4 linked regions of the Elephas maximus indicus genome follow. The protein of the gene in region 1 purifies or fractionates together with the protein of each later gene. This does not show direct contact. Links are inferred from orthologs where the notes say so. Each region holds a gene or a part of one and is shown on either strand. Other genes may lie near its edges. The genes, in order: ZMYND8, ZNF687, MTA2 and TSPYL1.

Region 1 (6,949 bases):
AGCCCAGGAGTGGTCTTTAGGAGGCTTGCCTCAGGCTGCCTTTTCAATCCTATCCCTCCCAGGATTCCATCTGCCACCATACCTTTGTCTCCGTCCCAATTGCCGTTTCCCAGATAACCTCAGACCTACCCGGATGCCAGCAGCATTCCTCAAACAGAGCAGGGCTGCCAGAATAAGCCAGCAGCTTCCTGCTCTTTGCCCCAGAAAACATTTCAAGTGATCAAGTGATCAGAGGGAGGGAGGGAGGGGGAGGATGCTGCAGCTGCTTAGGCAACAAGCTTAATCCCTGGGTTAAAATCTACCGCGGGCACCAGCCGCGTATTCCATTTCCTGATAGGGCCGTGGAGTTGCACACAAAATCTGCCACGATCTCACAGTCCTGTACCTTCCCCCACAAGCAGCGCCCGCAGAGACAAACAGTATCCAATATGGGATGGTGGTGGTATGCCCACACAGGAGAGAGCACAGGCTCATTAGCTCTGGCCTCCGCCTCTCAGCACTCCCCCCATTTGATTTCTTTATGCACGTGCCCATCCCCAGGAAGAGTAGGCTCCCCGCCTTGTGGTGAGGCCTGGCCTGTTGTCTGGAGTGCTAGACCTTTGTCAGGCCAGGTCTTGGTGGAGCTGTCCCTCCCTGCATCTTGGTCTTTGCAGCCTAAAATCCAACAAAACCCTGTCCCCTTTCACAAAGCCTGGTTCCTGCCCTGCGGTTGTGTGTTTCAATTCCTGGCATGTCCCTAAGTCTGCTGGATATAATTCCCAGCTAGCAAGAATTTATGTGCATGCGGTGAGCTTCTGTTGTCCATGGGGTCGGGGGTGGGGGGCAACAGGGAGAACAAGAGATGAGCTGTTCTCTTTCTTTGTGGGAACAGTGTGGGGCTAGGAAGCCCACAGGTGCTAATTTTAGGACAGAGGAGACTTTTTTGCTCTGTAGCTTTACCTCGTGGCATATGGCTGCGTCACCTCTGTTGTTCCAGCTTCCTGTTTTAAAAAATCTTGTTAGTTAAGCACCTTGTCGTTAAAAAAAAAAAAAAAAAGAGGAAAGATAGGGTGGACATTTTAAGGTCCTTTTGGATTTGCCTTTTCTTTCTCAGGCTACAGCCTAACTACAAAGGGAGCTTTAGGGAGGAAACTGCCAAAGACCTTCTAATACTATTGAAATCGGTAGAGTTATAAGCAGCTCTGAGAAAGTAGTTAATATTTTACTGGGGAGCAGTGCCAGAGATGGGGGGGCTGCCAAGTGTGGGGCCGTGTGTGAAATAGCTGTTCCATCTGCCTTAGGGGACGAAAAGAAGCCGTTCTCTGTGGAAATAAATTGAAGCAAGAATCCTTATAAAGCTCATGGGATTTGGCTGCCCACCGTGGGCTCAGTTCCCCAAGAACATACATACAGGGGTGATTGTGCCAGAAAGGGCGAACCTGAGGGTGTAGGCCTGATGTATAATGGGGTTTCTTGTTCCCTCGCTGAGTTTGACATCTCTCTTTCTCCCTGTGGATTTAAATGGCTTCTCAGACCGAGAGGCACTGCCTGTGCCCTGGATTCAGAAGGTACACGCCTCCTTGGGAAGCAAAGGCAAGAGACACCACTCTCTCTCTCTCTTTCTGCATCTGCCGGGAGAGCTGCAGCTGGTATTTTTCCACAGGCCTTCTCTGCTATCTCAGGGCCTAGTTTTTCCCAGCCAGGCCCAGAGTCTGAGAGAGGGTTAATAGGCAGGAAGCTGAAGGCATCGCAGACTAATACGGAAGTCAGATTTTTGTTTAACTGACAGGTTTAGCAGGCCTCAGCGGTGGGGGAGGGGGCCGGGAGGGGAAGGGAAGTTTGTAGACTAGGCATGTGGCCTGCTAGGAGCGCGTTTGGCTTTTCTTAGGGTAAGGACTGAGAGGCGGCCCCCTCTTGGCAGCTTGGCAGGGAGGCAGGAACCCATTTTGGTTTTCCTTTTTGTACTGGCTGAGGGGGTGAGATGTTAGATTCCCCGCCGGGAAAATGGCTCTCTGGCCTGCTTTTCCAGGAGGCGTTTTGACCATGACTGTGCAAACTTGACCACTCTCTTCCCTTCCTTCTCTCACCAGCAGAATCCTCTTTCCTCTGAGAAGCCATGGCTGCTTTTTAATGATTTCTTGGGGTTTGCCTGTCTGTTTTCCCTCAGCTCCTCAGAGGCCTGCCTCAAGCCTTGCTTTCTTGCCCCCTTGGGTTGTTTCCTGGAGCTCCCCCCTCCTCAGCTTCCCCCTTGGAGAACCATTCTGCTGCATTGTTCTAGAAAAAGACCAGCCTTCCTCCCAGAAAAGGGCCGTTTCTGTGGAGGCAGGTGAGGATGAGCCCTTCAGCTCACCCCAAAAACTCTCTTTCCAGTGGCATCCGGGCCTCAGGCTTTGCTGGAGCAGGTCAGGCTGGCTGCACTGGCTTGCCCGTGCCGGGAAATCTAGCCAGGGTGTGGGAGAAGTGCGTCTGGGGGCCCCTTTCCCAAGTTTTTCTTGCTGCAAAAGGCCTAGCTTAGCCTGTCTTTTTCTATGCACAGGATGGCTCTTGCTCACCAGAGCCTCACAAAGATAATCGCTCAGGAAGTGTTTCAGCCAATCCGGGGCGGCTTTACACTCCGATTTGCCCGGGCAGCCAATCGGGGATGAGCTTTTATTAGGCGGCCAGATCATCAAGCCGAAGTGCCAAACCCTTTTTCTGTGTGAGAACTAGGAGCCTGTCCTCCATGTTTTATAAGTATTGACATTACACAGTGTTAACAATGCATCCACAGAGGTAAGCTCGACTTTTTAACCATCTTTTTTCCCCCTCCCTCTGAGACATCCGAATTGTGGGCGAGCAGTGTGATTTCTCTGTGGCTGGCCGTGCCACACTCCCCCCTGAGCACTTAGGTTAACTTGGAACTGTTTAGAGAGATTTTTTTTTTTTTTTTTTTTAATGTTGCCTTGGGTCACATGGCTCAGTAGCCATTAGCCATAGCTTGATTTTGCAAACTGGCAAGGGCCTGGCACACCTTGCCTTTCACTAGGGCAAGGTGTTTTGGGAATAGTTTGAAGCTAGATCCTGGTATGTCAAAAAAGAAGCTTTTTTCCCCCCTCTTCTCTCTCTTTCTCTCTCTCAGCAGTTTCTCTCCCTGTATTATTGTCTCTTGTGTCACATGCCTGCTGGGGGAAGAATATGGAAGGTAAGCAAGCAGGCTTCCCTCCAAGGGGAGCTCATGGCAGACAGCAAAGCAGGCAAGTTTACCTCTCCAAAGAGGTTCTGGGAAGGCTTGACTGAAGTTCTGACAAGCCAGGATGTGTGTTTTTAAAAGAACCAAACCCTCAGCAGAGCATGCTAAGGCGAGATGGGAGCCCTCCTGGGGCCTAGGTGGGTGGTGGTGTCTGCAGTATGGTCTTTTCATTCAGGGCTTCTTCCCTTGAAACTACCTTGTTCAGCCTTTTTTCCTGACTTAGGTTAGTTCAGAGTGTTCTTCTGCAAGCCAGCCTACAGCCAGCAAATGTTTCTTAAAGTGTTTTCTAGGCGTTGGAGGAAGTTTTTGGAGTAGGGATGGGGGAGTGGTGGTGGTGGTGGGGTGTTGGACAACATCCTGCAATAAATCTGTGAGGACTCTTTTTGAATCCCTTGGCTTTCTACTCTTGCATGGTTTTCAATGAACTAATGTATCTTTTGTCCTTGTATTCATTTTTCCTTTCCCTTTTTTTTTTTTTTTACATTGTATCATCCTCTGCCCTCCCCTGTGACAGAGTGCAGAGGAAATAAAATCATGTCTGTGGCTCATGACAGCATTCCATATTCAGTTGTTGTGTTGTGTGTGTGTGTGTGTGTTTAATAATACCATGTAACTGTTTAAAAAAATTTCCTTTTTGATCAAGTCCCAAATCTGCCAGCCTGTTCTCTTCTTCCTAACTGTGGAAAAATGAGACGGTTGCTTGAACATTTGTTGGGTAAGTAAAGCAATCCATTTCCTCTGTGACCATGGATAAAGAGTTTTGGAAACATTGGGGGTCTGCTTGCAATCAGGGGGCCTTGGCTCCAGCAACTGGGGGCTTTATTCCCACGAACAAAATGAGGACTTTTTATTAATAGTGTCTTGGATTTTAGGTGACTGTTTGAATCCACTGTTTTTCCAGATAACCTACAGATAGGACTGAAGATTACACTTCCTGTTTACCCTTAGCCAGGGGAGAAATGTTCAGTTCATTGTGACTTGATTCTAGACCTTTAATTGGGGTTGTTTGGATATGAGAACTGTGGGTAGGTGATCTGCTTGTGAAATGTAAATAAATGTGTTTGTTCTTATAGTCACAGAGCCCTAAACATTGGTGGGGCAGGAGTTGGAGGTGGTGGTGTCAGTACTTAGGTTTTAGGATACTTACGTGTAGTGCAGAAATGCCCCCCAGGACCAAACTCAGTTTGATTCAGGACTCTCCTTAGACTCCGGCCCTTTGCCAAGCCTGACCCACACATCAGTATGCAAGCTTGGCTTTACTTATTATTTCTCACTTTTCACATTTCTCCTCATTGCTTAATGCTGTAGCTAGAACTTAGAGTGAAAAAAGTAGACTCTTGTTTAGCGTTATCTTCAGAATTTCCCTAGAAGCTCACTCCATAAAATTTCCAGCTTGGCCACCAATCCAGTGTGACTGTAAATGCTGGAAATATATTTAGTTGCTGTGTTACACCAACTTTATGGAGACAATACTCCTTTTCTTTTAAGTTAGTGTCCACCAGCCCACCTTTTAGCACCAGTTGGAAATAAGGAGAAATGTACCAAATTCTAAGCTGAGAAAAGACTGTGTGAGGCAGGCCAGCTTCTTGAAATAAAAATGCAGGCAGTTCATGATGTTCAATACTTGAAATTGAACAGACCCCCGTACAAGTAAGTTGAGACACTTAGCTTTTTTCCTTTGTTCTTATCTTCTGTAAATGGAAATTATGTATCGAGGTTCTTGTGGCCTCCTTAGAAGCAATATCTAATCACAAGACTTCTGGTTTGGTGCCTTCAACGTTTGCGTAATATTGTTGGGCTGGAAGGCAACTTAAGGACAAGGCATTTGTCCTCTAAAAGCTTGCATTAAAATGGCTCCCACAGGTTTGGAAAGCAAAGATTTGTTTTCAGAAGTCCAGGGTCCCAGCAAGTTCTCAGCCCTGGACCAAGCTAGCCACTTTCCTCTGGTACTGTGGCTACCACCAAGTATGAGTCTGTAAAAAAAAAAAAAAATGTTAATTGCCTTCAAAGTAGCATTGTTTTCCATTTGCACTAAAGGGGGAAAAAAAAAAAAATGTCTGCATTGCAGCAGGGCTAGGTAGGGGCAGCAAGGCCGGCTCCCAGAGAGCAGCCCAATGGGGTTCCTCTCTCTAGCTTTTGAACCAATAGACTTGGAGGAAAGGTTAAAGATTGACAATTGCAGTGGCTGAACTGAGAATGGGCCTTCTGGAAGTTTCTACCGTCTTTGTTCCTTTTAGGAAAAGCAGATCCAAACTCAAGAGAGTCTCCCTGATTCCTAGGGCACCCCTCCCCTTTCCTTTTTACATCCAGGTAGAATGGTCTCTCCGCCACGTTTGTAAGTTGCAGACGGAGGAACAATGCTGGGCTGTTTTTCTTTCTTTCCCTTCTGCCTCCTCAGTCCCCAAAGAGGATGCACAGCTGCAAGGAACAAACGCAGACACACTGGAGCTTTTGATTCCTCTCTCTCTTTTTTTTTTTCTCCTTCAAGACCCTCCTGGATGGATTCACTTTTCTGCTTTGGGAAATTAAGTGGCGTTCACGTGGGGGAGGGGAAGCAATTGCTCTTATTAGCTCCAGAAAATGGTCAGCGTTCAGTCTGTAACTAGGAATTAATTATATATAATCACTCAGTAAACTTTCTGCAGAGTTTTTCTAATTGCTGAGCATGAACATAGCCCACTGGAGCCAAGTCCAGTTACTTTTATAATTAACAGTTCAAAGATTTGAGTCAGAAAGAGAAAAACAATGGAGCCTCTTGGATTATAAATTAGGGATGAAAACAATAGCTTTTTTTTCTCTCTTCTCTCTTGTATCCCGTTTTTCTTTTAAACAAGACATTCCCCCTTTCTTTCCCTTGGAGAACAGTGGGGAAACTGCTTCAGTTCTTAAAGAGGAGAGGGGGAAAATAAATCATTTTTTAAAAAGCGGGATGACAATAACCCAGAAAACCCTGAAGGCAAAGGTAGGTTTTTAAAGTCCAGCCACTTTACTTGTGTGCTGTCTTTGTTTCTCTTGCCTTCTTTCCTCTTCTCTCCTGGGGGAGAGGCAGCAATCATTTGTCAGCATAGGAACCCTAGATCCAGTTTTGCCTCTGGTTGACCGTGGGAATTAAAAAAAAAAAAAATGCAAAGGTGCCTTCGGTCTCCCCCAGCGGAGATTTATTAAGGGAATATGTTTAGAATCCCTTTGGTTGCCCATAAAATACAACACCCAGTGAGGATTCACCCTTGGCTTCAGGTTGCTAAGGCTGCAATTGCCCTTCCCCCTCCTCCCCACTTTCCTTCCAGACAAACAAGCCTGCAGGAGCCATGTCAGCCTCTGCAGCTAGCAGCGCTGCCAGGCTGTCTGTCCCCATCAAGATTACCTACCTACCGGCCGGCGCGACGCCAGGATCCCGTCCTGGCTCTGGCACAGCGGTGGGCACCATGCCCTCCTTTCACCCCTGGAGCTAAAAAAGCAGTCACCTTGAAACTCTCCACTCATGCCGGCAGAAAAGTCCTGAGGCCAGTCCTCAGACCTGTGTTCTCCTTAACATAAATGATATTATCCACTCTTAGGCTCTTAGTTCGGGCCCGGAAAGTGAGTTTTGCAAAACCCCTTTGTTCCTTCTCAGGGCCCTGTTGGGGTGGACAGAAATCTAATTTGTGAGTATCCTGTGCATTGGTTAAATGAGTGTTTTCCTTGTGTTTCTCCTCTGCAGACTCGGATTGTCCTCCCTTGGTGTTAACTGTCTTAGGACTG
Region 2 (7,664 bases), on another chromosome or scaffold:
CATTGCACGTCCTCTTCTGAATCTGGCTTGAATTTCTGGCAGTTTCGTGTCGATGTAATGCTATAACCACTTTTGAATTATCTTCAGCAAAATTTTACTTGTGTGTGATATTAATGATATTTTTTGATAATTTCCACATTCTGTTGGGTTGCCTTTGGAATGGGACAAATATGAATCTCTTCCAGTTGGTTAGCCAGGTAGCTGTCTTCCAAATTTCTTGGCATAGATGAGCGGGCACCTCCAGCACTGCATCTGATTGTTGAAACATCTCAATTGGTATTCCGTCAATTCCTTGAGTCTTGTTTTTTGCCAGTGCCTTCAGTGTGGCTTGAACATCTTTCTTCATTACCATCAGTTCTTGATCATATGCTACCTCCTGAAATGGTTGAACATCATCCAAGTCTTTTTGGTATGGTGACTATTTCTTCCACCTTTTTTTTTTTTTTTTTTTTTTTGATGTTCCCTACATTATTCAATATTTTGCCCATGGAATCCTTCAAAATTGCAACTCTAGGCTTGAATTTTTTCTTCAGTTCTTTCGGCTTGAGAAATGCTGAACGCGTTCTTCTTTTTTGGCTTTCTAACTTCAGGTCTTTGCATATGTCATTATAATACTTTGTCTTCTCGAGCCACCCTTCAAAATCTTCTCTTTAGCTCTTTTCATCATTTCTTCCATTTGCTTTAGCGGCTCTATGTTCAAAAGCAAGTTTCAGGGACTCTTCTGACATCCATTTTGATCTTTTCTTTCCTGTCTTTTTAATGACCTTTTGCTTTCTTCATGTTTGGTGCTCTTGATGTTATCCCACAACTCTTCTGGTTTTTGGTCGTTAGTGTTCAGTGTGTCAAATCTGTATTTTTTATCGTGCTTTAGGTGAAAGTTTAGAGCAAATTAGTTTCTCATTAAACAATGCACAGATTGTTTTGTGACGTTGGTTGGCAATCCCATAATTTGTCCACATTCTCCCCATTTCTACCTGGGGTTCCCTGTTTCCATTCGTCTAGTTTTCCTGCCCCTTCCTGAGTTCTCATCTTTGTTTTTGGGCTGGTGTGTCCATTGTCCATTTAGTCTTGTATATATGATTGAAATATGATGCATGTTCCTTACATGTGTTATTGCTTCCCTTATAGACCTGTCTAATCTTTGGCTGAAGGATGAGCCTCGGGAGTGACTTCACTACTAGGTTAAAATGGTATCTGCGGGCCATACTCTTGGGGTTTCTCCAGTCTGTGTCAGGCCAGCAAGTCTGGTCTTTTTTTTTTTTATATAATTTTTATTGTGCTTTAAGTGAAAGTTTACAAATAAGTCTCTCACACAAAAACCCATATACGCCTTGCTACACACTCCCAATTACTCTCCCCCTAATGAGACAGCCCGCTCTCTCCCTCCACTCTCTCTTTTCATGTCCATTTCACCAGCTTCTAACACCTCCACCCTCTCATCTCCCCTCCAGGCAGGAGATGCCAACATAGTCTCAAGTGTCCACCTGATCCAAGAAGCTCCCTCCTCACTAGCATTCCTCTCCAAACCATTGTCCAGTCCAATCCATGTCTGAAGAGTTGGCTTCGGGAATGGTTTCTGTCCTGGGCCAACAGAAGGTCTGGGGGCCATGACCACTGGGGTCCTTCTAGTCTCAGTCAGACCATTAAGTATGGTCTTATGAGAATTTGGGGTCTGCATCCCACTGCTCTCCTGCTCCCTCAGGGGTTCTCTGTTGTGTTCCGTGTCAGGGCAGTCCTTGGTTGTAGCCAGGCACCATCTAGTTCTTCTGGTCTCAGGATGATGTAGTCACTGGTTCTTGCGGCCCTTTCTGCCTCTTGGGCTCGTAATCACCTTGTGTCCTTGGTGTTCTTCATTCTCCTTTGTTCCAGGTGGTTTGAGACCAATTGATGCATCTTAGATGGCTGCTTGCTAGTGTTTAAGACCCCAGAAGCCACTCTTCAAAGTCGGATGCAGAATGTTTTGTTAATAGATTTTATTATGTCAATTGACTTAGATGTCCCCTGAAACCATGGTCCCCAGTCCCTGGCCCTGCTACGCTGGCCTTTGAAGCATTCAGTTTATTCAGGAAACTTCTTTCCTTTTGGTTTAGTCCAGTTGTGCTGACCTTTCCTGTATTATGTGCTGTCTCTCTCTTCACCTAAAGTAGTTCTTATCTACTATCTAGTTAGTGAATGCCCCTCTCCCACCCTCCCTCCATCCCCTTTCTTGTAACCACAAAAGAATGTTTTCTTCTCAGTTTAAACTATTTCTCAAGTTCTTATAATAGTGGTCTTATACAATATTTGTCCTTTTGCAACTGACTGATTTCACTCAGCATAATGCCTTCCAGGTTCCTCCATGTTATGAAATGTTTCACAGATTCCTCATTGTTCTTTATCGAAGCGTAGTATTCCATTGTGTGAATATACCATAATTTATTTATCCATTCATCCATTGATGGGTACCTTGGTTGCTTCCATCTTTTTGCTATTGTAAACAGTGCTGCAATAAACATGTGTGTGCATACAAGGTCTGGTCTTTTTGTGTGTGTGTGAATTTGAATTTTGTTCTACATTTTTCTCCTACTTTGTTAGTGACCTTCTATTGTGATCGCTGTCAGAGTGGTCAGTGGTGGACGCTGGGCACCAGTTGTTCTGGGCTCAGTCTGGCAGAGGTTGTGGTAGTTGTGGTCCAGTAGTCCTTTGTACTAATCTTTCCCTTGTGTCTTTGGCTTTCTTCATTCATTTGCTCCAGCTAGGATGGGATCGGTAGATGTATCTTAGATGGTCGCTTGCAGGGTGTCAAATCTACTCTTGAGATGGTCTCCAATTTCAGATGGAATATACTCCAGGTCATATTTTCATTCTTGTGGACTTGTTTTAATTTTCTTCAGCTTCAACTTAAACTTGCATATGAGTAATTGATGGTCTGTTCTGCAATTGGCCCCGGCCTTGTTCTGACTGATTATATTGAGCTTTTCCATTGCTTCTCTCCACAGATATAGTCCATTTGATTCCTGCATTATCTGAGTAGTATATGAGGAGTAATCATTATTATTCCATACAGGAACACCCAGAGGAGGAGGTGGGAATGGAATGCTGGTCGGCTATAGCCAGTAAGGGGCTCTAGTTCCTTGTTCAGGGGCAAAAGTCTGTAATCTGGAACAACCGCAGCCAACCTCACGAAAGAAGGCAGCGGCGTGGGCATGGGGGGCTGCTAATCTCATTTGCCAATCATTTTATAAAGCTCTTTTACATTTAAACTCTTTTAATCCTTACAAAAACAATTGTCAAGTGGGTATTATAATCCCCATTTTACTCATGAGAAAATAAGTTCAGGGAGGTTCAGCGACTTGCTCGGTGGCCCCAAGAGTCTGATCCAGGAGCTCTGATTCACACCTCAATGCAGTCTCCATTACCCACGTAAACTTTCAGGGCGCGCCTAAGAGTCCTGGGTGCAGTGGTCCTGGGGACCCCCCCGCCCCGGTCCACAAGCGGGGCAACAAAACCACCTTGAATCCCCAGGCCCGGGGGTGTGAGCCACTACCTTCGCGGCTGGCTGCGGAGGCTGGTAGGCAGGGTAGACTGGGCTTGCAGATGAATTCAGTGACTTCTCCATAGAGACAGTCAAGGCGATTCATTTTCGGAGTAACTCCGCCCCTTCCCCCGCCTCCAGGAGGCGGGGCAACAAAGCGCGGGAAAACTCTGCCTCGGACCCCTCCCTCCCGTGCTAGAGGTGGGGAAAAGAGAGCTCTTAAACGGGAAATGGATGTGTGCGTGTGGGGGGTCCCCCGTTCCATGCTTAGGAGGTCTGTCAGTACGTCACTTTAAGTATGCCCCTTTGGAAATGGCCCAGGCCACGCCAGCACTCCAACGTCACCTCTTCCCCACTTCCGGTCTCCGCACTGGTCCCAGGTTTCAGGTCCTCTCTCCTTCCACACTCCAATCCCGCCCTCAATCCATGCCCTCCCGCAGGGGGCGGAGCTATGGGTGATGCCATCCCCGGGAACCGGCGCGCGCGGGGCTAGGGGCATGAACACCCATGTCTTTCCGGACTGTAGGATAGTTTAGACAGTGGAAAACCGCGAGGAAATGGTCAACCAGATGACGTAATGTTTTGGGTGACGTCTCAGTCTGTGATTTCATGAGCGGCACGATTGAGAAAACTGTGCAAACAGATCTACACATCCGGGCCCCACTCAGAGTCGACAAGGCTCTCCTCAAAGTGCCCACCAAATCGAAGCTGAGAGTTTTCTCAATATGGATAAGTGAACTGCAGGCTTAAAGGATCGCCACCAATGGGGAGTGAGGGGGCGGAGATGCATCTGGGATAGTCACCTCCTCCAGTAGGAAAGCAGGGAATCAGGTTGGCTTTTTCTAAGCGACAGCGGCAGCTACCAATAGTTTTTGAGGTGCACGGATGGGGCAGTTGGGCCTCGGAACAACCAATGGGGAGCGGCATCTTCAGAGGGACTAGGCACCTTGCCCAATGAGGATGAGCGGACTGTGCGGCTCTGGTTACGAGCGGCAGTACTTAAGGCCAATCCTGCCCGGGGCTGGGCGGGACGCAGCACTGATCGACGGAGGTGCTACCCAATGGCGAGTGTGGAAACGGGCAGCCCAGACCCGGAGCGCGGAGGGAGCTGAGGGAGGGGGGCGGCTGAACCGGAGAGAAGCAGGAAGTAGCGGCGGCCGCGGGGAGGGCGGCGGCGGCGGCGGCGGTGGCTGCGGCTGGAGCAGGGCAGAGACCGCCGGGTCTCGGCCCGCACTAGGAGCGGAGCAAGTAAGCTTGCCTGGGGTAGATACCCGCTCTTGGTCCCGCCCCCTGGGGGGGCGGGTAAATGCCCCCGCCCCTCCCCCACCTAGTTAACTGCCCCCTTCCCCGCACCGCCCCCCTGGGGCGCCCTGTAGGAAGGCCCTGGCGCCGCCTCCATCCTTTGGGGCGGATGGGCGAAACTCCCAGCCTGTTGAAAGCACAGCCCCTAGCCGGGTAAACATGGAGGGAGGGTTGGGGACCCCAAGTCCTGGAGCCCCCGGCCCGAGCGGCGCCCGGAGCGCGGCCCGGGGACTGGAGGCTGCGGGATGTCGCGACCTAAAATGGTGTCCGTGCCTGCGGGTGGGGGCGGGGAGCTGGGCCAGGCCGGAGCCGAGCTGCACCCCGACTGGGCGCGGGTTAGCGCCCCGGCCCAGGCAGGAGTCAGGCTCGCGCCCCGGGCCCGCCGCGCGCCTCTGATCACTCCCCACTTTCGGGAAAGCCTCCAGGAGCCCGGGCGGCGCGGAGCTGCGCTGCGCAGGGTGGGGAGGGCAGGAGGTGGGAGTTGGGACGGACCCCGGCCGGAGAGCGGCGGGTCCCGCAGAGGGTCCCCTCCCGGTTTCCTTTCCTCACCCTCCCACCCGTCGTCCTGGGCTCGGGGGTGCTGCGCCGCAACTCCCAACGGGCCTGGCTTGTCTGCGGCCCGTCCTTTCGCACGTCGGTGGGGGTGAAACGCTGCGCGCCTCAGTTTCTCCTGTAGCTTTTTCTGCACACAACCCGCCCCCTCCTCACCACCCCAGGCGTGCTCACGGCGTCGGCCCTCGGCAGATGGCAGGGACTTAATTCCGCCCGCTGCCCAGCGTGGCTGCAGCCTAATCGCCCCCTGGCCGCCGGCCCCTCGCCCTCCCCTGTCAGCGTAGGCCCCAGGCCCGGGCAGAGGGCTTTGGAGCCCCCACCGGACCCGAGCCAGTTCACCCTCTTCCTGTTCAGCTTCTTCCTTTGGTTTTTGGGGAAGAACATAGGGAAAGGGGGTGGGGGGCAGGAGCCCAAAAGATAGGGCTCAGCAGTCGCAGAAAGGCCTGGCCTGAGCCTGGGCCTCGGGGTGAGGTAGCCTCCTTGGCCTTGAGCTGGGCTGCTTGGTTGTCTGTCCGCTGTGGGTGGCCATCGGATGACCTCTAAGTTGCTTGGACGCCAAAGGAGGAGGTGATCAGGGGAGGCAAGTTAGCAGGTGTTTTCGCATAGTCCCCACTGGTCTGTGCTCACCAGCCCACTTTTCTGAAGGCCTGAGTGGAAGCTTGTACAGGCCTCTCCAGGTCTGGAGAGAGCCAGGCAGAGCAGGGCCTTGGAGGCCCTTCAGGGTAGAGGTAAGGGATGAAGGGCTTTGTTTAAACCCAAAGTCTGCAGAATTGGAGTGGGGGTGGAGGTGGGGTGGAGGGAGGATTCCTCTTTCTGCCTCTAGTTGGTACCCCCTCCTCCCACCCCCACCTTGGTCCTGGCAGTGCCAGCTGCCACCTGCTGGGACTTTCTCCAGTTACAGTCTAAAGGCTGGAAAAAGGTGAGAGAATTGGCCCTGGGAAATGGCTCTCTTGGGCAGGGAATATATAAGGAGAGGGACTTCTTCAGTTACTTTTTCCTGGCTATAGAAACTCTGGAAACCCTGGTGGCGTAGTGGTTAAGTGCTACGGCTGCTAACCAAAGGGTTGGCAGTTGAATCCACCAGGCGCTGCTTGGAAACTCTACGGGGGCAGTTCTACTCTGTCCTATAGGGTCGCTATGAGTTGGAAAAGACTTGATGGCACTGGGTTTGGTGGTTTTTGGTATAGAAACTCTTGTAGGAGTTTAGTGCCTCATAAGTCTTGTGGGATTTTTTTTTTTTTTTTTTTGTATTGGGCTAGGTTGGGGTTGGGTGAGACTTACTGGGCAACCGTTGCCAAAGGAAAATTAAAAGGGTGAGGAGTTTGAGTTAGGAGATAAACTGGGGTGAGGAGCTCAGAGCTGAAATTAGAGGAGCAAAGGAGCCTGGATTTCTCCGTTGTGATTGCTGGATAAGGCTGCACCCTGGAGTTTTAGCCCTGAGAGAGCAGGGTGGGGAGGCAGGGAGGGCGGGCTAGGGAGAGTCAAGGTACTCTGGGGAAGGTCCGTGAGCGAGCAGCAGGTGTTTGTGACTGGAGAGGCACAGGCTGGGGCCCTTGTGACCAGGCTGCTGTCACCATTTTCCCCTCTGTCTCCTCTTTGTCTCTTTCTCTTTCTTTGTCTTATTTCCTTCTTGGTCTCTTGAGTGATTTCCCTGAGTCCATTTCTCCAGTTGGTCTGTTGATCAATCTAGATCTCTAGGTGTCAGTGAAGACCCCAGCTGCCCTAGACTTGACCTTAAATGACCCTTGGCTGTTGTCTGTGACCCTGGCCGTGGATTTCCAGTGCCTGTTCCTTCTCAGCTCTTCCTTGACCTGACATGTTCTAATCTGACCCAGCTGCTGTAATAATAAACCACTCTCGGGGTTCTAATGCTTAACATTTACAATTTCATATCATGCTCAAAATGACCCTATGGTGTATGGATTACTTGTCCCTTCTTTCAAACAGCGAGAGTAAGATAGTGAAGGAACATGCTTATACAGCATACCGGTGATAAAATTGTAACAAGGAGTTGCTTACATCTTTGGTTAAGTCGGAAACCCTGGTGGCGTAGTGGTTAAGTGCTACGGTTGCTAACCAGCAGGTCGGCAGTTCAGATCAGCCAGGCGCTCCTTGGAAACTCCGTGGGGCAGTTCTGCTCTGTCCTGTAGGGTCGCTATGCACTGGAATCAACTCGACGGCAGTGGGTTTAGTGGCTTGCTTAAGTCACTGCCCCCTTGTACATATGGCTTTTCAGATCTCTGTAGACCCCAAAAGATCCAAAAAAAAATATCGTTCATGCTGGCATGAATGAACC
Region 3 (7,471 bases), on another chromosome or scaffold:
TTCCTCCCTGATGGAGACATTCTTACTGGGGACTCAGAGGGGAACATTCTTACCTGGGGGCGGAGCCTCTCAGATTCCAAGACCCCAGGCAGGGGTGGGGCCAAAGGTATGTGGTTGGTGGTGGCACCTGGGAAGTCCTGTACTGCAGAGAGCCTATGGGACCAGAGGAGAGGGTTTCCCATCTTATTACCTTGAGACTTGATAGTTCTGTTTGGAGGCTCATGGGAGGACTCTGGGGGGCTGGTCTAAGGGTAGGGGATGGCGTGGCAAAGGGAAAGGGCAGAGACTTTGGAGTTTGCCACCTCCTGGGTTCAAATTCCAGTTCTGCTACTAGTGTCTGGCCTTTGGAGAATTACTTCATTTGAGCCTCAATTGTTTTGTCTGTAAAATGGGGAGAATAGTAGCCATATTGGCAGCCATTAGGATCAGAGACAGTATTCAATAGGCACCCAACAGCAGGGAGTTACTACCTTCTATTGTGATGGCCCAGGCTGCCTCTGCTTCCTACTCTCCTGCACCCCAAGAGCATGACCCACCTGGGGTTTTGCCAACAGAGACCTACGGGATTGTGGCCCAGGCCCATGCTCACGAGGGCTCCATCTTCGCCTTGTGTCTTCGGCGGGACGGGACAGTGCTGAGTGGTGGTGGGCGGGACCGCCGGCTGGTACAGTGGGGGCCTGGACTGGTGGCCCTCCAAGAGGCTGAGGTAAGGCTGGGCTGGGGGCCACAGAGGGAGGGCAAGAGGGATGGCCTGCTGGGCCCTGAGTTTTTGCCATCCCCTCTGCAGATTCCTGAACACTTTGGGGCCGTACGGGCCATTGCTGAGGGGCCTGGCTCGGAGTTGCTGGTGGGGACCACAAAGAATGCATTGCTGAGGGGGGATCTGGCTCAGGGCTTCTCCCCTGTCATCCAGGTTAGGGGGCCAAGCGCTCAAGGGAGGAGGGAGGGAAGAGCAGTTGGGGAGGGGCCAAGGTGACAGCCCCATGCCCTGCTGCAGGGTCACACGGATGAGCTCTGGGGGCTCTGCACACATCCCTCCCAGAACCGCTTCCTCACCTGTGGCCATGACCGGCAGCTCTGCCTGTGGGATGGGGAGGGCCACGCGCTGGCCTGGAGCATCGACCTCAAGGTAGAACCCTGTGTCCCTGGATCCCCTACCTTTATGACCTTTATGATTTCCGTAATCTCCTTTTTTCTGCTCTTGGAGGTAGCCAGCTTGGACTGGTATAGCTGAGCTGGCTATTAAGGTATTAATCCCTCTGTACTGGTTGGTACAAGCTGCTGCCTTTAGTGCCCTGGCCTCTCCCCTGAGGGACCTCTAAGACCTCCCTTTGATTCAGCAACTAAGAGGTTAATTTCTGGCTTTGTAGTTTGCCACCTGCTGGGTTCAAATCCTAGTTCTACTACTAGTGTCTGGGCTTTAGGGAGTTACTTTACTTCTTTGAGCCTGAGTTGTCCTGTCTGTAAAATGGGGAGAACAGTAGCCATGTTGGCATCCACTAGGATCAGAGACAATATTCAACAGGCACCCAACAGCGGGGAGTTATTACCTTCTATCGTGATGGCAGCAGGCCTCAGTTAAATATTTTGAGTATCACCCCTTGTTTAGGCTCCAGTGACACCCCTATCCTATCCCAGGCCTATTGGCCCTCTCCTCCCCCATCTCCTCCTTGGGAGGAAGAGGCTTTGACAAGATGTCGGTCCTGGTTCCCTCACTTGAAAGGCATCTTCTTGAATTTAGCTTCTCTCCCTTCCAGGAGACTGGTCTCTGTGCTGACTTCCACCCCAGTGGGGCAGTTGTAGCCGTAGGACTGAACACAGGGAGGTGAGAGGGAGTTAGCACTCCTGGGAGGGGAAGCAGGGAGGTATGGGGAGGTGTTCTGGAAAGGGGGAGTGGAGGAGACAGACCACTGCCTGCTCAGGAGCCCCAACTGCGTGTTCCTACCGCTCAGTCCTTCTCACACTTTGGGCCTCCCTTGCTCTCTCGAATAACTGTTGTCTCCTCCAAGCTGGGAGTAGAGGAGGTTGCAGTCCAGGGTAGACAGGCTGAGGGGACTGGAGGGAAGACAGACCCTTGTAGTGGGCCCCTGGTCTCTAGTTCCTGACTGCTTTCTGAGAGGATGCTTAGCCCTTTCCCACTTCCCAGCATAGGAAAGCAGTGGTGGTTTCTCTGTCTACATCCCAGCCTTTCTGTGGGCTTGTCTGAGGGTCTCCAATTTGCCAACTCCCACCCTGCCCAGGCCAGCTCCCTGGGTGTCTCCTTACCCCCTGCCTTTCCCTCCCTCCCTTCCAGGTGGCTAGTTTTGGACACGGAGACCAGAGAGATCATGTCTGATATCACTGATGGCAATGAGCAGCTCTCTGTGGTCCGGTACAGCCCAGGTGAGAGCCATCCCCACCCTGGCCCCAGACCCCTCTCTGGCCTCCTCCTCTCTGAGTGACTGTCTTTGCAGATGGGATGTACCTGGCTATTGGTTCCCATGACAACATGATCTACATCTATAGCGTTTCCAGTGATGGCGCCAAGTCCAGCCGCTTTGGCCGCTGTGTGGTGAGGAAGCTGGGGTAGAGGGTGGGGTGTTGCTACAGCAGATAGACTTGCGGGGCGGTCAGGAATAGTGGCTGCGTTTTTAACCTCTTGACCCTTGCTTGCAGGGTCACTCCAGCTTCATCACTCATCTCGACTGGTCCAAGGATGGGAACTTCATCATGTCCAATTCTGGGGACTACGAGATTCTTTACTGTGAGGGGCAGCAGGGGAGGGCATGGGGAGAGGGTAACTGAGGTGGGTGTTACTTGTGTGTGGGGGTTCCTGGTTGGAGGGGATGAAGGAGAATGGGTGGGGTGCTCCAGGCAGCTCCAGGCTGTCAGACAGGGAGGTGGAGATGAGGCTGAAGTGGGGGCAGAATAATACACAGGAGAAATTTCTTGTGATTTGGAAAAACATAGTTTTATACTACATTGTGTTCCCACATGAACTTGAGGGATTTGAAAAATACACTAAGATTCCTGCAGAAAAGTTTCTCAGGACAGGTGCAGAGAGATTGATTTATCTAGGGAGCAGAAACTGAGGAGAAAGGGATAGAACTCAGGAGCAGGAGACTGGGGAGGGTTGCTTCTGGCCAGGTGGCTACCATGATGATCAGACCACAGGGCCACCGCCTCAAGCCAGCCTCTCCAACCTGGCCTTCCGGGGCATCTTCCCGCTGTCTGGGCCGAGGGCAGGGTGAGACTGAGCTGGGTGGGCTCCCCCTCCCCAGGGGATGTGGCTGCAGGCTGCAAGCTGTTGCGGAATCGCTACGAGAGCCGAGATAGGGAGTGGGCCACCTACACCTGCGTGCTGGGCTTCCATGTTTACGGTGAGTAGGAGCGCAGGGGCGTGGAACCCTACGGGTGGGGTGGGGCGGGGGGGAAGGACAAGGTGGAGCCCGCCTTGGGCTCAGAATGCTGGGTGTCTGTCCAGGGGTGGGGGTCAAGAAACCAGCAGATCCTGCTTGGGAGGCCCCAGGGGGTCCTGGGGCCCGGGAAGGATTGCCTGGAAGGCAGCCGGTGGGTGGCGTGAGTGCCCGAAACGGTACCGCGTTGGGTCGTGGGTGGGTGGCAGCTGGGGGGGGGGGGGGGGCCGGGCTGAGGACCGCCGCTGTGCTAGGCGTGTGGCCCGACGGCTCGGACGGGACCGACATCAACTCCCTGTGCCGCTCCCACAACGAGCGCGTGGTGGCCGTAGCTGACGACTTTTGCAAAGTGCACCTCTTCCAGTACCCGTGCGCGCGCGCCAAGGTGAGGCGGGCGGGACCCAGAGCCGGGCGGGCCGGGGCCGGGCGGCCGCCGCCCCTGCAACTCGGCATCCTCCCGCCAGGCGCCCAGCCGCATCTACGCGGGCCACGGCAGCCACGTGACCAGCGTCCGGTTCACGCACGACGACTCGCACCTCGTCTCGTTGGGCGGCAAGGACGCCAGCATCTTCCAGTGGCGCGTGCTGGGCGCGGGGTTGGCGCCCGCCACGCCCTCGCGAACCCCATCCCTGTCCCCCGCTTCCTCCCTCGACGTCTGACCGCTGCCGGACCGAGGCGACCGGCCTCTCGGTGCGCCCCCGCCCCAGCCGCATCCCCCAGGACCAGGGGCCGAGCCTTGCCTCGACTTCGAGACATTCCTGAGGCGAACGGACCCCGAGCACACTGTAGAAACCCGCTGGCCGAGCCGGACAGTCCCACCTTGGGCCCCGACTCCCACCGACCGCTGAGGGGCAATAAACCAAACCCAAAGTGGCTTCCCTGTCCTTTTGTGGGGCACGGCTGGGGCGCCTCCGGGCCTTGTGTGGGTGGAGAGGCCTGCGGAGAGGGTATGGGAGGGTGGGCCATTTATGCAAATAAAAGGTAAAGCCGCTTGCAAATAGACGCGTGAAGAGCGAAGCCGCACAAGCCTTTGGCGGCCTCAGGGCTCCGGCGAGGAGAGAGTTAAGCCCAACTCCTCTCCCGCCCTCGGAGGAGGGGCCGAGCTGTAACGGAAATCACCGAGCACCGGGCTGCGGTTGGCCGAAAGGAGCCGAACGCTTTCCGGAAGTAGCCGATCTCTGGGGTCTCGCTCTCCGACCTGAGCCGAGCGCGGGGCCTTGTTCTACCGATCGGCCGAAGGTATTCCGGAAGGAGGCGAACCCCGAGGCGGGCAGGGCAAGCCTTCCTGGCGGCCGGCAGGGCCCAACGTCTGGTGGGGCTTGGCGAGGGCGGGGGGAGCTGGAGCCTGGCTCTGGTCCGGCAAGAGCCGAACTCGTTCCGGAAGAAGCCGACCGGACCGGCGCCGGCCTCGGCGTCCCGGGCGTGAGGCGGTAGCGGCGGCGACAGCGCGGGCCGGGATGAACCGCGACGGCTGAAGCGGCGGAGGCGCCGGTTGCACGGGCCCGACCGAGACTTCCGCGAAGCTCCAGCCCCGCGCCCGGGGCTTCTCCTCGAGCCGAGCCTTGCCCCAGCGAACCTCCCGGACCTCTTTGTGCGGCCGGAGTCGGCGGCGGGAACGGCCATGGCGGCCAACATGTACCGGGTGGGGGGTGAGTACCGGGCGCGGGGGGTGTGGGGCCCGGGGCGGGAAGGGTTGGGGGTCGGGACCCGAGGGGCTCGGCACTTGGCGGCGCGGCGAGCCGCGTCTGGGGCGGCGTGGACCGGAGCACGGACCGGAACCGGAACCAGGAGCGAGAGTGCGGGGACCGCGGCGCGGCCGAGCGCCGAGACCCGGAGAGAGGCTGCGGGGCAGCCCCGACGGCGCTCTCGGGACTGCGGCGGGGGCCCCGGGTCGGAGAGTGGGGCTGGGGAAACTGGCTCCGAAGGGTCTGACAGGACACGCAGGGGGCGCGAGGGGTCGGGGCGACGGCTGTGCCACCTGCGGGGGGACGAGGGAGGGAGGCTCCGCGGAGGGGCGCCCGGAGGTTTCCTGTCCTTGGGTGCTATTGTGCTCTGGAGTGAACAATCGCTCATTTTGCCGAGACTCGGGTGCAACTCCGTCGCGGAGCTGTGCGCTCTGCGGGGAAACCCCTGCTTCTTGTCTCTTTGCGAAGTCTCACTTTTGAGCGAAGGATCTGACTTTGGAACTAGGTGCGGCGGGGGTGCGGAGCCGTCCCCATTTTCTTATTCTCTCCACTGCCACATCTCAGCGTCCTAGTCTCTATCTGGACTCTTTTCTCCTTTTGGCTTACTCAGGTGGACTTTCTCTCCTCCCACTCTGGGGCTCTGGCGCTCCTATCTATCTCCTCCACTGATTTTTCCCGGCTCTCCCCCTTCCCTCCCCCCAGATTACGTCTATTTTGAGAACTCCTCCAGCAATCCTTACCTGGTTAGACGGATTGAGGAGCTCAACAAGGTGAGTGAGCAGAGGCTCTCTGCGCCCCCACCCCGTAACGGGCTCTTTCTTCTGAGGGGTCTAACTTCAGATGAAGAGAGGACCCTAGCTTAAGTACTCATTCATATTCATTCATTCAGTGCTTTCAGGAAAGGCTTATTGAGAGCTTGGTGGGGACTTTACTGTTCTATCTCTTGGGGACAAAAGAAAGGGATTTAGAAGGCTGTCGTTGAATATTGGCATTTCTAGGATCCTTTAGAAGCGTATTTTGTCTTTAGTCTTTGTGAAGTTCTGTGTTCAAATGACCGGTTTTCACTGCCACTTTTTTCCCCCCAGACTGCAAACGGAAATGTGGAAGCAAAGGTTGTCTGTCTTTTCCGGCGAAGGGACATTTCTAGTAGCCTCAACAGCCTGGCTGATAGTAATGCCAGTGAGTGTCTTTAACCCGGAACCCCGCGCTTTTTTCCCTTACCCCATGGTCTGAGGCCTGGGCATGTCCCTGCACGTGCTTCCCCTGGTATCATGCCCAAGGCGGGTGTGAGTTTAGGGGTGGGAGAATGCCTGGTCTGTGGAGGGAGGCCTGTTTTTACATGTTGGTGTTGGAAGCAGGGTGGAGGGACCATGCCATGCTAAGGAAAGCGAGAATATGGTCAGCGTGTATGTGTGAACATGAGATGTGTGTGACATGTGAATGTGAGCGTATGTGTGGGAGAGAGTTGGTAATATTTAAATAGAGGGTGAGGAAGAGCTTTTAGAGAAGTCAAACCCTTGGGACAGCTTTGGCTACGTTGGGACAGTGGGTAGTGGCTGAGAAGGGCAAGGTGAAGAGGAAGAGGCTGTAAGTGCCGGCCTGCAGAACAGGGAAGGAGGCTCATCTTGTGATCACAAGGTGGTGAGAATACACTGGAGGAGAGAATGGGAAGCTAGGAGAAAGGAAGATGGCAGGAAAGTTTCTTGTACTTTTTCTCTTATGTTTCCTTCTCTACGCCATTTTACATCGTTCTGTTTTCTTTTTGCCTAATTTTCCTTCTTTAAGCTTTCATCTTTACATATATATGATTATGTATGTATGTATATGTGTATATATGTGTATATATGTATATAACCCAGTGCTGTCATATATGTGTATATGTATACATATGTGTATGTGTGTATATGTGTATATTTGTATGTATGTGTATATATGTGTATATATATATATGCTTCTGGGTTTTCTGTTTTCCTTAGCTTTTTTTTTTTTTTCCTTGCTTTGGTTTTCTTTTCCCTTACTAGATTATTTTCCTGTTTTCAGGCTGCTTTGGGCATGAATGGGTTAATGAAGAGCTTGGTTTACCAAGTTCCCTGGTCCCTTTGGGGTTTCCAGGGCCATCTGGCAGGGGCTGACCTTGGCCTTGTCCAATCAGAAGGGGTGCAGGGGGTGTGGTCCCCTTGCCTTAGCACCGGTTTCCGGAGCACATAGGGGAGGGGCGGAGCCTGGGAGGGGGTGCCCTTCTCCCTGAGGTTGGAAACAATGCGCCAATGAGCCGGGGCCTGAGGCTTTTCTGCCCCTCCCCCTTTGGATGGCTCCCAGCCAAGTTAACCCTTTCCACCAACGTTTGAGGGCAAGCTGCAGCTCCTTGGGGAGGAGGGTTTTGGCACTGGT
Region 4 (7,939 bases), on another chromosome or scaffold:
GAGAAAGAAAATTGTGTGTCAATTTAACATTAAATAAAGATGGTCTTACACTCTTAAGAAAGTGACTTCACTTTTTTCTTTAGAGAGGGTAGCAAAGCCTCTTGAGTCAAACTTCCTAGGTACAAATCATGTGTCTGTCACTTTGTACATCACCTTGGCTAAGTGTCTCAGTCTCTCTTTGCCTCAGTTACCTAGTGAGGAAAATAACAGTCAAAATAGCATTACCCCACAGGGTTCTTATAAAAGCTGAAAATACCTGTGATCATGCTTATAACAGTACTAGTACACCAAAAGTAGTAAATAAATGAAAAAACCCAAAACCCAGTGCCGTCGAGTTGGTTCCGACTCATAGCGACCCTATAGGACAGACTAAAACTGCCCCACTGAGTTTCTGAGGAGCACCTGGCGGATTTGAACTGCCGACCCTCTGGTTAGCAGCCGTAGCACTTAACCACTACGCCAACAGGTTTTAAATAAATGAAAGCTATCATTAATTACAACCAGGAAACATATCCTTCTGCAAAACAATAATGTCTGCTAAACTGATTGCCACCCGAGAAATCATTGCTGAAGACTCTATGATTCCTCGATATGACGGAGAATAGCTTCATGTCATTTTTTTTTTTTTTTTGGTGGATGTTTTCCTGAAGAACCACAATCTGTTCAACTACCTTTTGGTTTATTGCCAATTGCCACAGAAATGCTCTGTCATATACAGATATAGCCTATATTCCAAAGTACTAAAAGGTAATGTATAAAACATGGCCAAAATACATATCCCTCCTTCAAATAAAATAAAATGCCAATGTAGACACATTGTTAGTTTTTGTAGGATCATTTCAGGTTCTATTTTATTCAAAGCATCAGATATTGTTATCGTTATGCTGAGTACATGCAACAGAAGAAGCTACAGTGCTCCCATCCCTTGGGAAGATGCTGAAATGCTGGGATGATGAGACTGACATGTATGGAACAGTCACTAAGAGGAGGAATATAATTAAGTGCTACATTGCGTGGTAAACCTTATAAAAGAGCTCTAGGAAGCTCAGTGAACTGCAGAGCGGTCCAGGAAAGCTGCATCTAGGAGAGGGAGGAGGAGTTTAGCGGTTACTACAGGAAAAAAAAAAAAAAAAAATTTATTTTTTATTTTTATTTTTTTACAGGAATGATCTTGGTTAAGTTAGTTAACCTTTCAGAGTTATTATTTCCTTTTTTATAAAATTTAAAATTTTCATGCACATAAAACGCCTAGCACATTCTAAAGCAAGACAGGTTTATGCTCGGTCTTGGAGAATGGACAGGATCTGCCTAAAAAGATAACGTTTCAAAGAACAGATTAACCTGTGTCATGAAAAAGACACACATCTCCTTCTTAAGACTTTAGGTATAAAATGTTAAGAAAAAAAAATCCACAGGTAATATCCCTTTTACAATAATTATCTGTGGCAAATAGTAACCACATTTTTTTTTTCCTGCAGGGTAAAATAATTCCCCCTAAGCACATAAATCTTGGATCAGGTTAAAATCCAAGAAAGTACCTTCTTCACCCATGCAAAAAATAATTTAGGAAAAGAAAGGGAACAGAGTATGCAAACCTGCTTTTCCCTCTAAATATCTGCCTCTCAGTGGCCCATCTCCTCTGCAGTTGTTTAATTAAAAGTTATTAGAATCTGGGCTCTCCATTATCTATAATGAAGAGTTAAAATCATAATCATTTCTCTATTGTGATTTTCAGATAATTAAAATTCAAAGAAATGTGTCTCCTCATTTTCTGTATTTATTCATTCAAATACAGAAATATTCTGTATCACAGCTTTTTCAAATGTACTGACAGGAAGAGTAGGATGCAATTCTCCAAAGTGTCTTAACCTTATCTGGGGACATTACATTCAGCAGACTCCTGATTACATTAACATAACACCATCCGTAATTGGAATCTTTCCTAACATTATCAGTTAGAGGGCTAATTACGCTTTCAGAAATCCTAATGGTGACTTGGACAAATAAGGCAGTATCTTCTACGACTGGCGAAAGTCTGCTATTACTTTTTGCTTTAAAATAAAAGTATATTACAGCAGTAAAAGTTTCCACTTTAGGGCAAATTAAATTATTTCCATTCCAAGATAGAAGATGATTTCATACAATTAAAAAGAAGTGGGCTTTGTGGAAAGTTCCATTATTCATTCTTATCTCTACTAAAAGTAATTTCAGCCATGCATCGAAGGAGCTATCCATTTCTTGCAGAGGGAAAAGAAGTAAGGCCTGGAATCATTCCCTTCGCTTGCACAGAAAGGAGAGAAGAATCAGAAGAAGAGAAATGCTGTGCTGGTAGTTGGAAGCTGCTTTGCTATGTAAACACCTTTCAGAGTTTGTTTGTCATGCAGTGTGACCACACAAATGTAAATTATTTATAAAACAAATTGTTTTCCCAGGCTTTGATACATATGTAGAAATTCATTCTCCCGGCTAGGAGTTTGCTACTGCCGACAGTAGGTTGGTCCTCTGGTTTGCCAGTGGCAGCTGGAGAGCGGGGTGACAATTCATGTGCCCCTCACTTCTCTTTTGCAAACCCAAAGTTGTAGGCAAGAGAAACTGTGTTCTGTTTGTTTGCTAATTCATTTAACATTCTATAACGTATGGAACACTGTGCCAGGCATTTGGTACATAGTAGTGAACAAAACCATGTCCCTGTCTTCCTAGAGCTCACAGTATTTTCTCAAATATCTTTTTTTTTTTTTTGTAGGTTTTGGTTTTAATTTTGTCTTTCTGTGTATTGCCTAAGTACATTTATGGCCCCAATGTCCAAAAAGAGACTCCCACCCAGTGCCTCAAGCTATTATAAATCCCAGCTGTCAGGAAGGATCTCAGGGAAAGCAACCAGCAAGGTTGCAGAACCTGCTGCTAGAAAAAAAAATTGAGGCAAGCAGATTCAATCAAACTTCAATCCAAGCTGTACTAGTTTTCTATTTCTGCTGTAACAAATTGCCACCAACCCAGTGGCTTAAAACAATACAAGTTTATTATCTTACGGTTCTGGAGGTTAGAAGTCCTAGAATCCGTACGTTGACAGGTCTGCACTCCTCTGGAGGCTCTAGGGGAGAATCAGTTTCCTTGCCTTTTCCCGTGTCTAGAGAAAAAAAAAAATTTTTTATTTATTTTTGTTTATTTTTTAGAGGCTGCCTGCATACCTTGACTGCTGGTCCTTCCTCCATCTTCAAAGCCTACAGCATAGCATTTCAAATCTTTTTCTCTCTCTCCTGACCTCTACTTCCACCACCACATCTCCTTCTGACTCTGACACTCTTCTGATAAGACCCTTTGTGATTACATTGGGCCCACTCAGATAATCCAAGATAATCTTCCCATCTCAAACTCCTTTACTTAACGATATCTGCCAAGTCCCTTTTGTTCTAGGAATTAGAACGAAGGCATCTTTGGGGGCCATTATTTGTCAGCCTAACACACAGGCAAAGAAAATAGGGGGAAAATTGCCATTTCTACATCTTAAATCAACTAGCTGTATGTTTAAGTTCTGCAAGTTTGTTTTCTACTTCAAGGCCATTGTGGTAACACATTGTAACCTGTTTTTCTTTTTTTCCTCATAAAAACGGTGGTGGATGCCCCACCCCCCATCGGTATTTCTCTGATAGCTTACAACTTTGACGAGCTTTGTTGGCACAGTTGTTACAAGCTGGGCTGCTAACTGAAAGGTCGGTTGTTCGAACCCACCAGCTTCCAGGAAAGAAAGATGTGAGTCTGGTTCCGTAAAGATATACAACCTTGGAAATCCTAGGGGACAGTTCTACTCTGTCCTATAGCATCGCTATGAGTCGCAATCAACTGGACAGCAGTGGGTTTGGTTTATAACTCTAAGATGCCAGTTTTTCTCACAAGCCAACAAACTAAAACATCCAAAAAGACACTGACATCCCTCTCAAATGAACTCAATGAGCTGATTGCCCTGAAAAGATACTTCATTACAGTCAACCTTTCTTACTTTATAGAACTAAATACATTAACCGTTTATGGGGCTGGAAATAGCTGATCATTTCCTCTTTCCTGCAGGAAGAGACCATGGAGTAACATTTAGCAAATTGTTCCTGGCTTCCTGCCTGCAGACCTTATGCAGCATAATCTCTTGAATGCAGATTATAAATTAAGGACTGACAATAAACAATATGTATCACTTTAGTAGTTTAAAAAAAAAAAAAGAAGAAGAAGAAGAAAAAAAAAAACCTCTGAGTAGCTTTTTGTCCCAGTAACATTACAGGCTCGAATTTATATTTCCTGCCACTCCTACTTGAGAAAAGAGAAACAATTTGCTACCCACTTAGTTAAAAGTGAAGCTTTTGTTTCTAGCCATTATGGAATAACAAAGGATATATTTATTTCCCTATCTAAAAAAAAAGGAAAACTGGAAAAATAATGTTTTCAGACGTAGTACAGCAGTACAGAGCTGTGCCAGTTACAGGCTGGAAGGAGTTTCCAGATACATCGCAGGGACGGTCTCACTGCCTTCAGACTCAGAGATCCTCATTTTTGTAGTCCTTATATATATATGGGAAGGAGTCCCGGTGGTGCAGTGGTTAAAGCGCTGCGTCCCTTCGCTGTGTGAGGCAAAAAAGTGTTAGTCTGCTTACGTGAACATTACAGCCTTGGAAACCCTATGGGGCAGTTCTACTATGTCCTACAGGGTCATTATGAATCAGAATCTACTTCAAAGCAGGAGGTTTGGTTTTGATTTTGGATATTTATGTATATCGTGCAGATCAACGTTTATTAAACCAAATTACCAATCCAACTGATTAACGCTAGTACACTTCAACAATAAGCAGCGGCGGACCCAACCCCGGGGCTCAGCGAGTCTCGCGCTGTGGCGAGAGCCTTCAGCTCTGACGTCATCGCCAAGGTAAAGCTCGCGAGACTAAGAGTGGGTGGTGCGAACGGCCGGTTTGTCTGGAGTGCGGCTTCTTTGAGGAAAACCGTCGCCCGCTAGCCGAGGGTCGCCAGCTATCAACATGAGCGGCCTGGATGGAGGCGAGAGGACCCCTGTCTCCGAAGTCTGCAGCATCACTACTCCCGACCGTGCCCCAGGAAACCCGGACCAACACCACTGCGAGAGCCTCCGAGGAGAAACCGAGGCGACGGCGATGATGGCGGAGACGGGTAAGAGCAGCTTGGAGACCGTTGAGCCCCCACCACCCCAGCTTCCAGAGGAGAGGGACGCACCCCGGGACCCCGCGGCCTGTGGCGACACTTCCCGGATTCGAGTCAGTGGAGATCGCAGTCATCTGGAGACCACAGCGGGGAACGAAGAGGCTCCGCCTCCCACAGAGAGCCTGGAAGCAGCCTCTGCCTCCGTGGCAACTGATAACAGCCTGAAAAATGACTGTCTGGGTGGAGAGCCTTGCGGCTCTGGTGGGAAGAAGGCCCTAGAAACCTGTGACGAAGGGAGCTCCGAGTCTGAGGCGATAGTTGGGGCGAAGGCCAAGGACATAAAGACTGAAACGTGCGCCATCTTGGTAGTAGCAGTGGAGGAGGAGAGGGCTGAGGTGGTGGAAGAGAAAATGGAGAAGGAAGGAGTAATGGATGAGGAGGTAGTGGAGGAGGAGATGGAGATGGAAGAGAAGCCAGTAGGTGAAGAAATGGAAGTGGTGGAGGAAAATAGAGTGATAGAGGAAGCGAGACCCCGGCCCCTGAATATGGATCTCCGCATGAACCCTCTAGAGGCCATTCAGCAGGAACTGGACACTGTGAATGCTCAGGCTGACAGAGCCTTCCTCCAGCTGGAGCAGAAGTTTGGGCGGATGCGTCGACACTACCTGGAGCGCAGGAACTACATCATTCAGAATATCCCCGGCTTCTGGGGCACCGCCTTTCGGAACCACCCCCAGCTGTCCGCCATGATTAGGGGCCAAGATGCAGAGATGCTAAGGTACATAACCAATTTGGAGGTGAAGGAGCTCAGACACCCTAGGACGGGCTGCAAGTTCAAGTTCTTCTTCCGAAGAAACCCGTATTTCAGGAACAAGTTGATTGTCAAGGAATATGAGGTCAGATCCTCAGGCCGAGTGGTGTCTCTTTCCACTCCCATCATCTGGCGCAGAGGCCATGAACCCCAGTCCTTCATTCGCAGGAACCAAGATACAGTCTGCAGCTTCTTCACCTGGTTTTCAGACCATAGCCTTCCAGAATCTGACAGGATTGCTGAGATTATCAAAGAGGACCTGTGGCCAGATCCACTTAAGTACTACTTGTTGCGTGAAGGGGCCCGTAGACCCAGACGTCGCCTGATAAGGGAGCCAGTGGAGATCCCCAGGCCATTTGGATTCCAGTCCGGTTAACCTTTGTCCTTGGAAATACTCTAGCACAGGGTCCCCAGACCTGTGCTTGGGCAACGGCAAGGGTATGCTTTCTACTTTTTCTGTGCTGATTTTTCTGCGCCTTCCCTCTGGACATTCAGCTCTCTCAGCCTCCAGATTGAGACTTTCATGCTCCTCCACTTTAACGCGATCTTTGTGCTGTTCACCCGCTCTTGTATTAACACCACATACTGCGTGGCCATGGTTCACACCACTCCAAGGCAAGCACTAGATGCCGTAGATTACACTTTATCTGCACTGCTTGGACTTTCTTTATTTCAGGGGTCTCGGCTCTGGCTACCACCACCTGCATTTCTAGCTTTGGCTCCTACACACCTTGCTCTGCATCTGGCAGTCAAGGCACATGGCCTCTGGACAATTGGCTGGGTGTTAATGATGTCAAGGGAGAGCAGCAGTGGGCTACTTGGTTTGTGTGACTCCATTGGTCTTCCTACTTGTCACTTTCTGTTGCTGCCTCCTCCTGACTATGCCCCCTCTCCTTGGCTGCAGCCTTCTGAACAATCGCCTTCTAGACTGTTGTCAGCCTCACTGTCTGATTTCTAGTAAACAAGGATCTTCAAAACTGATGGTGGACCCAGGTTTCCAGCCAGCACACAAAAGATGCCTCAATTCCTCACACCCCCACCCCCCAATCTTCCAGAAACCCTATTGACTCTTACACAAATGGTTAGAGTCATCCTCATGGCAAAGGTGAGGATGATGTCCTTTCCAAGTACCAGGCTTTCTCAACCTCAACCAGTGAATTCACAAAACCTAGGTACCTTTATTTGCTTCCCTTCCTCATCCTGAACATGATAAGTTTCAGGGTAGCAGTAAATTTTTTCTCTCTCTTTAAAAGAAAAAAAAGTGATAGCTGAGAAAAATCTGTAAAAGCAGGCTTTTTAGTTTAATTTGGCTGTCATTTCCAGAAACAGGTTGTCCTATAAAATAGACTGCCAGAATTCTTATTGCCCCTGTACTGTCTTTCCAACTCCATGTCTCCCTTTTTAGAGAGAGATCTAAATACAATGAAAGATGATTTCTAGTTTAGAGTGGAAGAATTTAAGAGATTGTGGTGGATGCTCTAAGCAGCAAAAACCAAACAAAAGGCCAGAGGCAGAAATGAGCTACAGAATTGGGGCTAGAATTAAGATTGAACTGACAGAGCCTTTGAGAAAGGGGTGATGGGAGGAGAAATACTTTTCTCGGGTTTGGGATGGATAGAATTGAAGTGTTAAATAATACATTTTTTTTTTTTTTTTTAGAGTAGGGTTCTTTAAGGAAACGATGCAACTTCAGGTGTTTTCTTTCTTTCATGTGACCTTATTTATGTTGAAGATTAATACTGTTCCTTTTATTTCAGTATTATATAAAATGCTGTTACCTTTTATTTCTACCTACTGGAATAATTGAGCTGTACAGGCTTTCTTTTGCTTTCAGTTGGGAACATTTGGAAGCATATCAACCTTATTTTCATGTACAATATTAGAAACTTATTTGAATATTTGTAGCAGTTGTCATCTTATTTCTGTTAAAGCTGTATCCTTAGAAATATAGTTCGAATAACTTGGTCTTGT

The links.
Region 2: the proteins of ZMYND8 (region 1) and ZNF687 purify together in Homo sapiens (affinity purification with mass spectrometry; 4 studies listed by BioGRID and IntAct, with this or other methods). This does not show direct contact. The link is inferred for Elephas maximus indicus from reciprocal best matches to the Homo sapiens genes ZMYND8 and ZNF687.
Region 3: the proteins of ZMYND8 (region 1) and MTA2 purify together in Homo sapiens (affinity purification with mass spectrometry; 3 studies listed by BioGRID and IntAct, with this or other methods). This does not show direct contact. The link is inferred for Elephas maximus indicus from reciprocal best matches to the Homo sapiens genes ZMYND8 and MTA2.
Region 4: the proteins of ZMYND8 (region 1) and TSPYL1 purify together in Homo sapiens (affinity purification with mass spectrometry; 4 studies listed by BioGRID and IntAct, counting the BioPlex papers as one, with this or other methods). This does not show direct contact. The link is inferred for Elephas maximus indicus from reciprocal best matches to the Homo sapiens genes ZMYND8 and TSPYL1.

What each region holds. Positions count from the first base shown.
Region 1 is NC_064843.1:22,008,104-22,015,052, forward strand, and holds the start of ZMYND8 (protein kinase C-binding protein 1), read left to right. Parts: upstream 1-3,940; 5' UTR 3,941-6,745; coding exon 6,746-6,852; intron 6,853-6,949. UniProt on the Homo sapiens protein: Chromatin reader that recognizes dual histone modifications such as histone H3.1 dimethylated at 'Lys-36' and histone H4 acetylated at 'Lys-16' (H3.1K36me2-H4K16ac) and histone H3 methylated at 'Lys-4' and histone H4 acetylated at 'Lys-14' (H3K4me1-H3K14ac).
Region 2 is NC_064821.1:185,323,290-185,330,953, forward strand, and holds the start of ZNF687 (zinc finger protein 687), read left to right. Parts: upstream 1-4,659; 5' UTR 4,660-4,762; intron 4,763-4,865; exon of another isoform or gene 4,866-4,969; intron 4,970-7,664. UniProt on the Homo sapiens protein: May be involved in transcriptional regulation.
Region 3 is NC_064825.1:125,784,552-125,792,022, reverse strand, and holds the start of MTA2 (metastasis-associated protein MTA2), read left to right. Parts: upstream 1-4,454; 5' UTR 4,455-5,016; coding exon 5,017-5,044; intron 5,045-5,782; coding exon 5,783-5,850; intron 5,851-6,165; coding exon 6,166-6,259; intron 6,260-7,471. Other genes in the region: EML3 (echinoderm microtubule-associated protein-like 3), read left to right, coding at 1-106, 555-706, 788-913, 998-1,129, 1,758-1,825, 2,294-2,382, 2,454-2,551, 2,656-2,743 and 3 more. UniProt on the Homo sapiens protein: May function as a transcriptional coregulator. Acts as a component of the histone deacetylase NuRD complex which participates in the remodeling of chromatin.
Region 4 is NC_064819.1:182,883,878-182,891,816, reverse strand, and holds the start of TSPYL1 (testis-specific Y-encoded-like protein 1), read left to right. Parts: upstream 1-4,934; 5' UTR 4,935-5,018; coding exon 5,019-6,344; 3' UTR 6,345-7,939.